Regions from separate parts of the Mus musculus genome. Here regions 1 and 3 are each reported to be linked to region 2. The links are microRNA targets in miRTarBase. Many come from high-throughput screens and were not tested one by one. Region 2 holds a microRNA gene; each other region holds the end of a gene's coding sequence.
Evidence for each region. The annotated mature microRNA mmu-miR-3062-5p reads GGAGAAUGUAGUGUUACCGUGA and lies in region 2 at 2,897-2,918, opposite strand. An mRNA with a match to its seed (bases 2 to 7 or 8) in the 3' UTR can be bound and repressed. Matches are read on the target gene's strand: a 7mer-m8 pairs with bases 2 to 8, a 7mer-A1 pairs with bases 2 to 7 and ends in A, and an 8mer does both.

Region 1: the mRNA of Acpp is a reported target of mmu-miR-3062-5p. Seed matches in the 3' UTR shown: 7mer-A1 at 3,185-3,191, 7mer-m8 at 3,180-3,186, 7mer-A1 at 3,039-3,045 and 8mer at 2,129-2,136.
Region 3: miRTarBase lists Ero1a as a target of mmu-miR-3062-5p. Seed matches in the 3' UTR shown: 7mer-A1 at 1,429-1,435.

The regions. Positions count from the first base shown.
Region 1 is chr9:104,287,823-104,292,028 of GRCm38, forward strand. It overlaps Acpp (acid phosphatase, prostate), which reads right to left. Exons shown (of 11, transcript NM_207668.2): 11 at 418-3,707. The coding sequence ends at 3,589. Among named protein-coding and RNA genes, the nearest start is that of Dnajc13, 27 kb to the left of the region's middle.
Region 2 is chr11:68,987,742-68,991,947 of GRCm38, forward strand. It overlaps Mir3062 (microRNA 3062), which reads right to left and starts at 2,937; the gene lies at 2,833-2,937. It overlaps Pfas (phosphoribosylformylglycinamidine synthase (FGAR amidotransferase)), which reads right to left. Exons shown (of 28, transcript NM_001159519.1): 19 at 4,115-4,206; 20 at 3,944-4,027; 21 at 3,597-3,752; 22 at 3,299-3,418; 23 at 2,932-3,077; 24 at 2,627-2,834; 25 at 2,429-2,520; 26 at 2,230-2,344; 27 at 626-949; 28 at 1-532. The coding sequence ends at 222.
Region 3 is chr14:45,282,512-45,286,717 of GRCm38, reverse strand. It overlaps Ero1a (endoplasmic reticulum oxidoreductase 1 alpha), which reads left to right. Exons shown (of 16, transcript NM_015774.3): 16 at 630-3,631. The coding sequence ends at 690. It also overlaps a transcript of Gpr137c not described here. Among named protein-coding and RNA genes, the nearest start is that of Ero1a, 34 kb to the left of the region's middle.

The DNA of each region.
Region 1 (4,206 bases), not on the chromosome of region 2:
TTAATCCCAGGAGACTAAGGCAAGGAAATCTCTGAGTTCAAGGCCAGCCTGGGACAAAGCAAGTACAAAGTAATGGTACACTGGCACACACCTTTAATTTGGGCCATATCTTCTTCTGGGGACCTACATAAGGACATTGGAAGAAGGAAGAGTCACTCTTCTTCAACTGCTTGCACTTACTAGCCAGCACATCCGTTGGAACCTACTTCTACAGAAGACTAGCTGAAACAACTAGTCTCATGGGACTGAACAACTTCTAGAGTCTTGGACTTCCCACCCACACTGCCCATTGTTGGGTTAGTTGGTCTACAGACTGTAAGTCATCACAATACATTCCCTTAATATAGGGAGACAGCCCATAGGTTTTGTGCCTCTAGTGAACTCTGACTAGTACACCTGTAACCCAGGCTTACAAATGAAACATTTCAGACAATATTTTATTAGTTTGGCCAAAGATTAAAAAACAGTGAAGACACAGGATAAAGGTGACCTGTTGTGTTTGTTTTACTTGACTTTATTGTGGTACTGGGGATGGAACTCAGGGCTCACCTATGCTAGGCAAGCACTTTGTTGGTGAGCTACATTCCAGTCCTAAGGATGATGTCTATTTCTTCACAATAACCCAAAGTGTATTTTACAAATAAAGGATGTATGTGTTCTCTCTGCTTTAAAAAAAAGGCTGTCATCGAATGGCCTAGGCCAGAACTATTCAGCATGGGAGCCACTAGTGACTCCCAAGTCCTCAAAGGTGGCTACTCCAACTTGGAACAAAACATCACATCACATTTTTAAATACTTAGTATGAAACTCATCTTAAAAATATTCCATGAACACTTTTTGTTGAAATGTTATTTTACATGCATTATGTTAAATAAATTTTTATATTATAATTCATCTCACCTAAAAAAGTTTTCCATTACAAACGTGGCTGTAGGCCATTTAAGACCATGAGTGTGACCATATGTGTCTCTTAGCCCTATCTAGGGTGCCAACATTTCACGATTGTTTGGATAGTTTCTTGGAGAGGGTTTTAAAAGAGAAAGCCGTTATAATTTGGCTTTTATTTACCCAGAAGCCCCCATGACTGTGAGGAATCAGTGCTAAGAGTATTAGAACAAGACAGAAAAAGGACAGGAAGACAGGAAACACAAGTGAATTCAGGGAAGAGAATATCAGCTTTTGTGTAAAAAGCTGCCCAGTGAATGCCAGTCGGAGCCTCATGTACGCCATTCCTTAAGCAGTGGGATTTTTTTTTTCACAAGTTCTCCAATTCTCTGTCTGTGCTTTGCCACTAAAGCTCGGAACAACCTAGCACTCGAGCGCTCGCTCTCTCAGTGCTTTCCTGTATAGGCATCACTAGTGTTTTTGTGTAATTACTATCAACACGCTAATGACTGCTTCATGGAAATTCTCCACAAAGGCTTCTCAAATGACACGGAGCACACATCACAACAGAGGTGATCGCAGCTCTAGTGACGCTCTTGCAACATCACCATGACAACTGGAATGGTCACATCTGTCTCATCTACCAAGTAGTTATCAGTATCGGGAGTTCACATGCCCTGTTGTTGACGTTGCTTATTTTCTGGGACACCCCACAGTTCCTTTGTGTTCTTTGCATGATTCCTATAGCTCATCTGTCACTTGGGATTCTGCCACAGTGTATGAAAACTGCTTATAGTATTTACCAACAGAAGATAAAGGGCACTGCGATATTGAGCCTGAGAGCTTTCCATATAGTAATCGAAGCAATGGTAGGAACTGGGGATTGAGCAGATGGGTAGGTGGGTAAGAGCCCTTGTTGTCCAAGCATGAGGACTTGAGTTCAAGTCCCAAGCACCTATGTAAAATGCTGAGTGTGGCCCTTGTGTCCCTGTAACCCCAGTGCTGTGGAGACAAGCCAGGAGGATCACTGGGGCTTGCTGGATGTCAGAGTAGCTTTGGGTTCAGTGAGAGATCTTCTCTCAAGGTAAGAAAAGTAATAGAACAGGACACGTGACATAATCCTTTGTTCTCTGCGCATGCGTGAGAAGACAGCACCCACCCGTGTGCACATTATCACATGCTACATAAATACACACATATGAGAGGGGGGCTCCGAGTTTTGTTTTCAATGACCTTGGCTCACTGAGAATGGTATTAAAAATACAGACTATAGATGTGAGCGAGTGGCATTTAACAGAAGGGCTTCCGGGGCTTGAGGGATGCGCTGGGGATCTGCGTGGAGAGCAGGTCAAAGGTCCCAGCATCCCACATCTAGACAGCACTGCAAAGTGAATTCTGAGTGTGGCCTTGGGAGCTTGAATGTCTACGTTTTTCTGCAGAAGAGCACATGTGGGTGGAGAGTGAGCATGGACTCAGGTATATTTCGAGATCTTTAAGCAACCCCAAGGAAGTAGGGCAACCCACTGAAGAATGAGATCGAATTTATCACCAGTGGAATGCTTGTGTGTCCAGAGCAGTTTGTCATGCTATAAAGTACATTTTGGCCTTTTTTCCTAATGACTTCATGGGTGGTGCCAGTCATGGAGGGGTTTGATGGGGCCCTGACTCATCTGTAGTAAAAGCAGAATAAAACTGGTCACAGAAAATGAAATCTGGATGTGACTTCTGCATTCCTCTTGTCTAGAGTTTTCTACTTTAGAATAAGAAATACGACTTAAGCCAGCAGGTTGTCACCCCCCCCCACAGGGTACTTTACTTTCTGTGTTGGCACCGTATAAAAGTCAGAGAGGACTAAGGGCATAATTCAAATAGAGTACTCTCCGAGCTTGTGTTAGACCCAGGGATTTTGAAGTCTGGCACGACAGTAAAAAATAAATAAGTAAAAACAAAAATCATTTCATAGTAGCAACAAACAGCCCTTAAGTATAAGATATCGTAATTTTAAAGTGAATGTACTACCCACTGCATAAAAATAAGGTAGTGAGGGGCGTGAGGAAGGTGAACTCATCTCATGGGTTTTTCAGTTATTTCTCTGTACGAAAATGAGAGAAAATGACCGGAGCTGTGCTTAAAGTGAATGATGCTATGGTTTCTGAGAATCGAACACGTCACCTAAAGACATTCTGCATACGGATATATGTATGTGTGTGTTGGATGTACACACAGAAATTTGTCAGTTATGAAGTGCTGGGTTTGAATTGCTTGCGAGTGAGTGAGCGAGAGAGAGAGAGAGAGAGAATGAGAATTAAGCATATTACATAACTAAAGTCATTTTTCTGTGGATCTTCTAGTCTAACATTCCGAGTTACCTAGTGCGTTCTAACCTAAATCCTGACCCCACTTTCTCTCCCTTTCGTCTTCATAGTCACAAGGTGGGTTGGAATTTGGCTTCTTCTTTCAGGACCTCTGTGTAAAAGAGCAGAGGCATCCCTTGCAAGAGTCCTATCTTAGCCCTGTGAACAGCTCAATGGTAAGGAGACATAACTGACCTGCCAGCTCTGCACTCTCCCCCGTGGCAGTGAGCTCACACCAACTCTAGGTAAGTTCTAAAGGGAGGGCATGGGCAGGACAGAGCCTGCATGGCAGAAGAGCTTCTTGCCGGTGCTGCTTCATTGAGAGACGTCCCCAAGGTCAGCTGTCTGTTCAGATGTTCCGATACACATCTCTCTGCCAGCAGGGCCCATGGCGGATGAGGACAAGCAGAAGTATCACCAGGATCCCGGTTACCAGGCAAAATGTAGTGGCAAGGATAACCCTCAGCACTGCGAACCGAGAAATACACGCGAAATTAGGACGTTAAGAACGCATGACGATCACAACAAAAAACTCTAAAGAAGATGAAGATCATATATCATTGTTGACTTTGGGCCTTAATTTAAAAATTAAAAAGATGCTTATTTCATGTACAAAAAAAAGTTTATATAACTTTTGCCTTCTTTGTCCTTCTGTTTTTGTTTACTTGCTTGTTTTCAGAGACAGGGTCTCACATAGCCAGAGGGGCCTTGAACTCCCTATGTAGCCAAAGGTGAGCTAGCTTCAACTCGTGATCCTCCTGCCCCAATCTCCCAAGTGCTGGGATTACAGGTTGGGGCCATCCTATCCAGCTTGCCTGCCTTAATTGTAAATTCTAGAGGAATTTCTGAAGTAGCCTTGGATTCCGAAGAGCTAGGGGTCAGGAGGTGACCCCTAGTTTCAGCATGACCTTTGACATTTGGCCTCAGCTCTCTACTACAAACGGAAGGAAACTGGCTGGAGAATCTC
Region 2 (4,206 bases):
GAGCCTGAGCCGCTTGCTGAAGATCCATGTTAAACTCAAGAGCTGAAAGCAGCTCTTGCAGGGGCAAGGCTAAAATGAGCAATGCAGCTGAGGTCATCCCAGCATTTTGGTTCTTGCTAAGATGCTTTTGGAAATCACATGGGATACTCCTGAAAGCAATGGGGAAAGAAGGCAACGGAGTCAAAGGGTGAGCTGTGGGCCAGGGTGGTCATGCGGCCTCCTCAGCAGCTGTCCTCCTGGGTCCAGTTCCTAGCATTGATGAAGAGCTGCAGCCACGGGGAGGTGGGAAGAACATCAAAGGGAGAGGGTCGCCATGCCCACTGCCAAAGCCTTACAGCCCGCTCAGGGTGCGGCATGAGTGCCAGGTGTCGGCCATCTTGGGAACAGATACCAGCTATGCCCCCTGGAGATCCATTGGGGTTCAGAGGGTACTGCTCTGTGGGGTTCCCATCATCGTCTGCCCAGTGCAGAGGAACCAGGCCCTTGGCCTCGATCTTGGCTTGGAGTTCAGGAGAAGAAAATGCCATGTAGCCTGGAAGTGAAGGAGAAGAGAGTGAAGGCCAAGTTCCTTCAGGCCCAGCCCCAGCCCCAGCTTGCAAACCCTCCCCTGCCTTCCCAGCCTGACCTTCCCCGTGAGCACTCCACACGGGCAGCACAGAGCCTTCCATCCCTCGGAGCATCAGGGCTGGCCCCGGCTCCACACGTACGGTGGCCCATCGGGACTCGAACCGCCCAGACAGATTGTGGCGGAGCAGGAGGCCCGGCTGTGTTGGCTGGGAGTCCTGGCCTGGCTCAGCTTGCTCTTCACTGGGATCACTTCCCACCCAGCCCAGAAGAGCCAGCAGCTGACAGCCATTACACACGCCCAGGCTGAAGGTGTCCGGCCGCCTTCGGAATCGGCCCAGCTCTTCCCTGGCCTGTGGATTAAAGGTCACCGCAGCTGCCCAACCTAGGAAGAACAGTTAAGCCAGAGTGAGAAAAGGCCTGAGAAAGGGCTGGAGAGATGATGGCTCAGTGGTTAAGAGCACTGACTGTTCTTCCGAAGGTCCTGAGTTCAAATTCCCAAAACCACAACTATCTGTAATGAAATCTGAGGCGCTCATCTGGTGCATCTGAAGATAGATATAATAATAAAGGGGCTGGAGGGATGGCTCAGTGGTTAAGAGCACTGACTGCTCTTCCAAAGGTTCTGAGTTCAAATCCCAGCAACCACATGATGGCTCACAACCATCCATAATGAGATCTGAAGACAGGTACAGTGTACATATATATAATAAATTAATAAATCTAATAAATAAATAAATCTATCTAAAAAAAAAAAAGCCGGAGAAAGCAAAAGCAGGGCGTGAAGGGAATGACATGACAGCCCTCTATTCTAAATCGGTCTCTTCAGACCCTGGGACAGCCTTGAGGAAAGAAACAGCCTGATCTGCTTTAATCAGATAGCCTGACAGGATCCATGAATCTCTCTCTCTCTTTTTTTTTTTTTTTTTTTGAGACAGGGTTTCTCTGCATAGCCCTCCTGGCTGTCCTGAACTCACTTTTTAGACCAGGTTGGCCTCAAACTCAGAAATCCACCTCTCAAGTGCTGAGATTAAAGGCATGCGCCCGGCCCATGAATTTCTCTATGCTAAGCAAAAATATATTTTTTTAATGCTATGTAGTTATCTAAGCCTCAACAGTACAGCAGTTAAGAGCACTGACTGCTCTTCCAGAGGTCCTGAGTTCAAATCCCAGCAACCACATGGTGGCTCACCACCATCTGTAATGGGGTCTGATGCCCTCTTCTGGTGTGTCTGAAGATATCGACAGTGTACTCATATACATAAAATAAATTAATTAATCTTTTAAAAAAAAAGGCTAAAGTAAGATGGCTACCTTTTGAGTTTGAGCAGCTTCACAAAACTGTATCTCATTAAAAAAGGGAAAAGACTTCACGCACAAAAAGCCTGATCCTTTGCCCTCCCTTGATCTAGTTGTGCTGAACCATCTTTCCACAGAACAGGACAACCTGATCAAGTTGAAGAGCAGTCAACTGTTCAGATGAGGCATGCCTTCTAGGCTTGTACAGCTCAGGAAAGCCAGCCATCCTCCTGCTGGCCTCTGGTCTTGAAACAGAGCACTCTGCCTGACTTGTGAGGGCAACAAGTTGGCTGCAGTCTGGGCAGAAGCAGCCGAAGACATTTTAGCAGGGAATGTGGAAATGGCAGATCCAGACTGCACACTGACCTTTAGCAGAGCCCAGGACGTCTGCGTAGCTGAAGCCGCCCACAAAGGCCACACCACGGAATGTGTCCAACCTGATGGCCCCAGAGCAGAGATCTTGCATGGTCACATCCCACACCTAATACGACAGGGAGGAAACCGTTAGAAGACTTATAGCCAAGACAAGATCAAGATCTCCAGCTCTGTTAGGTACCAGGCTTACCTCAAAGCCTGCCAAGTGAAAGGCATCAGCCATTTCTCGGTCTCCATTGCTGCCCTCTTCTCGCAAGATGGCAACTCGAGGGACGGGTCCACCTGGAAGATGTGTCTCTGAGCAGAATGCTACCTATCCACTCTAAAACCCCAGATGCCTTCCCAAGGGCAGATCCAAGTACCCCAGCCTCTGTGCACGCTCCCTTACCAGGTTTACAGGGCACAGAGGCCACAGGAAAGGTGGGCGGCAGGTAGTAGCTGGGCCCTGTCCGCTCCTTCAGGCCCTGTTTCTCCTCTATCACACAGCGTGGCTCTGCCTGCAGTAGGTCCAGCTGGAAACTTGTTTCCTCCCAGAGGGCTCTTAACTCCCCAACAGGCTCCTCTACTACCACAGCCTTATTCACTGATATTCGGGCCTGCAGTGGGGAGACCCATGAAGGAGAAAGTGTGTCCCCGTGAGTGGTATTTGCTGACAGGCTCACGGTAACACTACATTCTCCCTGGCTTCCTCACCATGGCCTGGGGTCCAGCCTCGCCTGTGTGGCCCAGTTCCAGACACCGTAGGCCAGCACTCTCGTACCTCTGCCGTACTCCGGCCACATCTGCCTCCTGTACCTCCAACACCAGACCGGGCTCTTCCGCAAACAGCACAGGCAATGCTGGAAAAAGGGGTGAGTCCGGATGACTCGGGTGAGATGGGTTCTGGAGGAGGAGCTCATGGAAGATGCACCAGGGACTATGAGAGGTCGTAGACGGCCAAAGTTCAGAACATGAAGATAGAAATGGAGGATTCAGCCAAGACTCAGGAGATAGGGTCAGAGATACCACATTCTTTATACCAGAAAATCTACAAGTAGAGGAGACAGCCCAAGCAACTCACCATGGATCCCAGGGGCAGGTACATCTACCTCTATCCCACAGTTCCCAGCAAAGGCCATCTCTAGAAGGCAGGTGACAAGCCCCCCATCGCTGACATCATGGCCTGAGCAAAGACGGCATTCTGGAGGAACAAGGAAAAATTCAGCCATCTCAGGGCAAGCCTAAGGCTCCAGAGCATCTAGAGAGCCAGGGAGTGTGAGAAGGCGGGCACTCACGGGAGAGAAGGGTTTGGCCTGAAGGCACATCACTCACTTGTTCACCCCCCCCCCCCCGCCCCCACGTACCAGGGCCACGCTCACCTTTCAGCAGCCCCTGGGTGATATGAAAGGCACGCACAAGGTTCTCGGGAAGGTCTAGATCAGGAGGGTGCTCCCCAAGCTGGGAGAAACACTGGGCTAGAGCCGTTCCTCCCAGCCGGTGCTGCCCGGGGCTCAAAGGCACATAAAGCAAATGACCTAAGAAAGCAAAGTGGGACGGCAGCTCAAGACAGCACTCACAGTACACAGTAGGACACTACCAATTTCCAGCCCTAAAAAGCAGTGCACCTCAGGGCTGAGACAAGGGGGACCAGGACTCATAAAGTAGACCTCAAAGCAAGGAGCAAGCTCAGAACAGAACCACAAGGACAAGGGGGACGGAGCCATACCTTTCCCACCAGGATGTTTGAGGTCTGGGGTCACAGTGGCTGTGATGTCTGGACAGACAGCATATGCTGAAATGACCAGTGACCCTACCGAGCAAAGAGAAATAAGACCAAGTGAGGTAGCAGCCCAGGCCCACAGGTCCTTCTTCCCTCTCACAAGGGCCTCATCCTTACCAGGAGCCTGCACCGTCTCAGTGCCGACCCGGGCAGCCATGCTGAGGGAGTCTTTGCCACCATCTACTGCCACACCCAGTGCTGCCATCACT
Region 3 (4,206 bases), not on the chromosome of region 2:
TTCTGTATTTTGTATTATGTATATAATACAAATAACAAGTACATTTATGAATACCTAAAATATATAAGTATTCTGATGCTGTTATATATTTTACACTAAATATTGGTGTGCTTTAAATACCTCAGCATAGCTCTGGATATTTAAAATACACACTTATATACATATACATATATATTTTTAATACTTGAATATTAAAAGTTAGCTTGTGTTGGGCAATATTATCTTGGGTTTTCCTTGCCAGATTAAAAACTAAAGGATATAAGTAGATTTATGTACTTTTTTTTTTTAAATGTTTACCTGATGGTTTATTTATTTATTTATTTTTATTTCTTAAATTTATTTATTGTTATATGGAAGTACACTGTAGCTGTCTTCAGACACACCAGAAGAGGGCATCGGATCTCATTATGGGTGGTTGTGAGCCACCATGTGGTTGCTGGGATTTGAACTCTGGACCTTCAGGAAGAGTAGTCAGTGCTCTTAACCGCTGAGCCATCTTGCCAGCCCTTATGTACCTTTCAATTTGTTGAAATAAACTACTTTAAAATTTTTATATATTCTAAAAAATGCAGAATGATTAATAGAATTTATGAAAGACAGTTTTTACATGAAATGTTTCTTGGTTACAGGATTTCCACAAGTGTGAGAGAACTAGAGAACTTCAGGCACTTGTTACAGAATGTTCACTGAGGAGGACGGTTGGAATGTGCCTGTTTCTGCACAGGGGAATCTGAAGGGCAGAATCTCTCTGAGCACCATGGTTGCAATGACTGTCCTAAGCCAAACGTTTATATAAAGCTGCTTTTGTAAAAGAAGAGATACATTGTCTTAAGTAAATGACATTTTTAAAAATTGTGTTCATGTTTAATATTATTGTGAATAGAAGTAGTATTTTGATAATATACAAATTTTAATACTAAGCAAAAGTAAGGTCATTAAACTCCCTTATGATAAAGCTAGGTAAATATTGCCTTAGGCTCTCAAACTAGAGTTGAATTTAAGAAGGTAATGAAAGCTAAGCTAAGGTACCTGTGACAAGTGTTTGGTAATAAAATACTAAGAGGCTCAGCAGTAAACCATGGTTATCAGCCTCAGATACCAATGCTTTTTCATTTGCCTCATATACAAAGAAAATACAGACTGCCCAGTTAGATTTAAGTTTTAGAAAAGCAACCAGTTTTCCTTTCAATGTTAAGTGTGTTGAAGTTTATTAGGGCCTATTTATACTACAAGTTATTTGCTCGAAGTTCAAGTTTAACTGGGAGCCCTGTGTTTTCCTGGCAACCTTAAAATACACTGGTATGAAACATTCCTTTTAGAGTTAAATAGCTATTTTGATTGTGCTGTTTTGGTATGTTGGGAAGTAGAACAATTCAAAGGCACAGGAGATTTCTAAACATCGTAGAAAGATAAATAGATTATATATTTATTCTCATAATAGTTTCCCTAATGGAATTTTGGGGAAAATTTTATTTTTATATAATTTCATATTTACAGAAAAGTTTCAAAAACAGTTAAAAAAAAAACCAAACTGGTTTTACTCAGATTCATGGATTGTTCACATGTGTTTTAACCCCTCACCCCAGCTCAGAGTGGCGATTGAGCCCAGGACCTCAGTCATGCTGGGCTAGCCCTGCATTCATGAGCTGTGTCCTCAGGCCTTGCTTAAGCTCCTACATAGACATAGACACCCTGTTTTTATTTAAGGGTTTGAGTCATGGGCCTCATGATTTAACCCAAAATACTTCAGTGTGGTGGTCAATAATTTCCTAAAAACTATTTTTTGTTTTCTTTTTAAAGGAATATCCAAACCTTACAAATCTGAGCTGAACTACTTACTATAAGCCTTAAAATAAGGAGACATCCCACATCCCAGCCACCTGACGTTTGAATTTGGTTGCCTTTTTCGACCTGTGTAGTCACAGGCTATACAACTCATGTTTTTACGCATGAAACTCTGTTTTTCTCCACAGGATGGAGCTGTAACGTAGATAGGATGGGTTGTTAGTAGAAGCTCTACACTGAGAGCAGTATTTGATGTGGCTTAAGAATTTACATCACATGGCAATTATAAATGGCATATACCTCAAAATTATGCCCCCTTGAGGTCACATCTAATGTCTTGAGCAGTTAGGACTGGTTGAGATGTCACATAAGAAAAAGCAGGACTTACGTATGTAATGGCTAGGAATGTCACTTTACACTGTTGTGTATTTTCTCTGTCCCTAAGACTTGGTCTAGTGCCAGGCATACAGTTGGTGTCTAATATTTATTGATGGAAAGTATATGTATTTAGTATACGTTAAGTGATGGTGATGTAGCTTGTTTAGTAATGTATCCTATTTCCCCCTCCCTCTCACTTTTTCTTTTGGATCTCATAATAAAAGACATCAACCCACTAATTAGGTCAGTTTTCTTGGGGACTTAAAAGAACTAAATGATCACCACACACAAGCCAGCCCTTTTGAAACCCTCACTGCTTTCACGTGCTTTTCCCACTTGATTGGCTATGTCCTCTGTCCCTCCAAGTGAAGTCTAATACCTAATTCTAAGTTTATAGTTAACAAGCAGTTTAATTTTTAAGAAATCTTAACTTTTCCTGTACATGACACAATTGACAATCCCTATTCCTTTGTGTCCTTGTGTTTGGATTACTCCTGGGTATCTTTCTTCTGGTCTCTTCATTTAACCTAAGTATCATTCCTCAGACTTTTTGCTCTTAAGTCACTGGACCGTACTTTTGAGTAATTTCAATGCAGTAATCTCATTTTAGCTTCTCAGTCTGTCTCTCTGCTGTGCTCACTTGGCTGCCTGTTGTCGCTTCTGCATCTTCAAGGACTCAGTCACCACAAACCTACTCTATGTTTGTGTTCCTTACTTGGTTAATTTCAGAGCCGTTGCACCGTTCAAGGCTTTACAGTTCATTCCTGTATCGTCCACCTGACTATTGGTGTCTTAAGCTCTGCCGATTTTCTCTCAACATTTCTATCAGTGTTTTTCAGTTTTTATTACGATCACCAAAGGATTACCTGTCTTTTCCCATCTCTCTGTTGGCTCCTATCACCAGATTGGGCTTTCTAGAAACCTTCAGCCTAATTCCTGCTGGCAAGTTTCATGAGCTTTTTGGTGAGAGTCTCTGCTTGATATCCAAGACCCTCCTCTTGTGTTTGCCACTGTTCTGATAAGAGTGTTAAAACGTTTTCCAAAAGTCCAGAGTTGTTGGCCTTCCAAACCTTTGCAAACACAGTATTTGCATTGAGAGCCCTAGGCTTCTTTCTCATCTGGGAAATTCCATGCATTTTTGAAATCTGTGAAATTACCCCTGTCCCCTTCCTATGGTCACCACTGTAACTGCAACCTACCTCTACTGAATCACTTATTGTACTGTATATTTTATTTTATGAAGTGTCCTTTATTAGAATGTGAGCTCCTTAGGGGCAGGAAAAGAAACTATTCATTTTGGCACCTCTATAGCATAATGTTTGGCACATGAGCATTTAATAAATGTTTGTTGAATAAATTGCTTCACATGACAGCTGTTCTGACTGCAGGTACCTTCACTGCCTTTGCTGCACAGTGAGGATCAGTAGACTGGGCGTGGGGGGCAATAAAGATGAAAATAATTGAAATATCTTTGGTCTTTGGTCAGTTACGAGTGGGTTCTACTTTGGGATGAACCAATCAATACCACAGGGGTTTCTCGATGAAAGGGTAGCTAGGATTGTAGATTAGACAAACTTCAAGATTCTCAGGAGGAGGGAGATGTTATAAATCACTTGATGAGGGTTTTTCTTAGTTTAATGTTTGAGTAAGTGTCTGCCTCATAACACTGCCTTTAAGATCATGGTGCTTTATTTCAAACTGGCTATAATGTGTTACAGTCTAGATTTAATGCATTATTCATTAATTCATTTGTAATGAGATTTTTTGAAAAAAATTGAATGGATTCCATTAAGGGACATTAAGAAAACACACCTTCAAATGAAAGCACTCTGTAACAGTAGCATTTTATTATAATTTAGTGAAACAAAGAAGTACATTCATTGGCCACAGCTATACTTTTGCAACCAGTTTGAAACTGACTGTATAGCTGAGAAACACTGTTAAACAATAAAAAGGCAAATTACGAATAAAAAAAAGTCACTTTAGCTATAAATTACATTGTCCACAAAACTACAATCAGCTACAGTAAATGGTAAGAGTTTC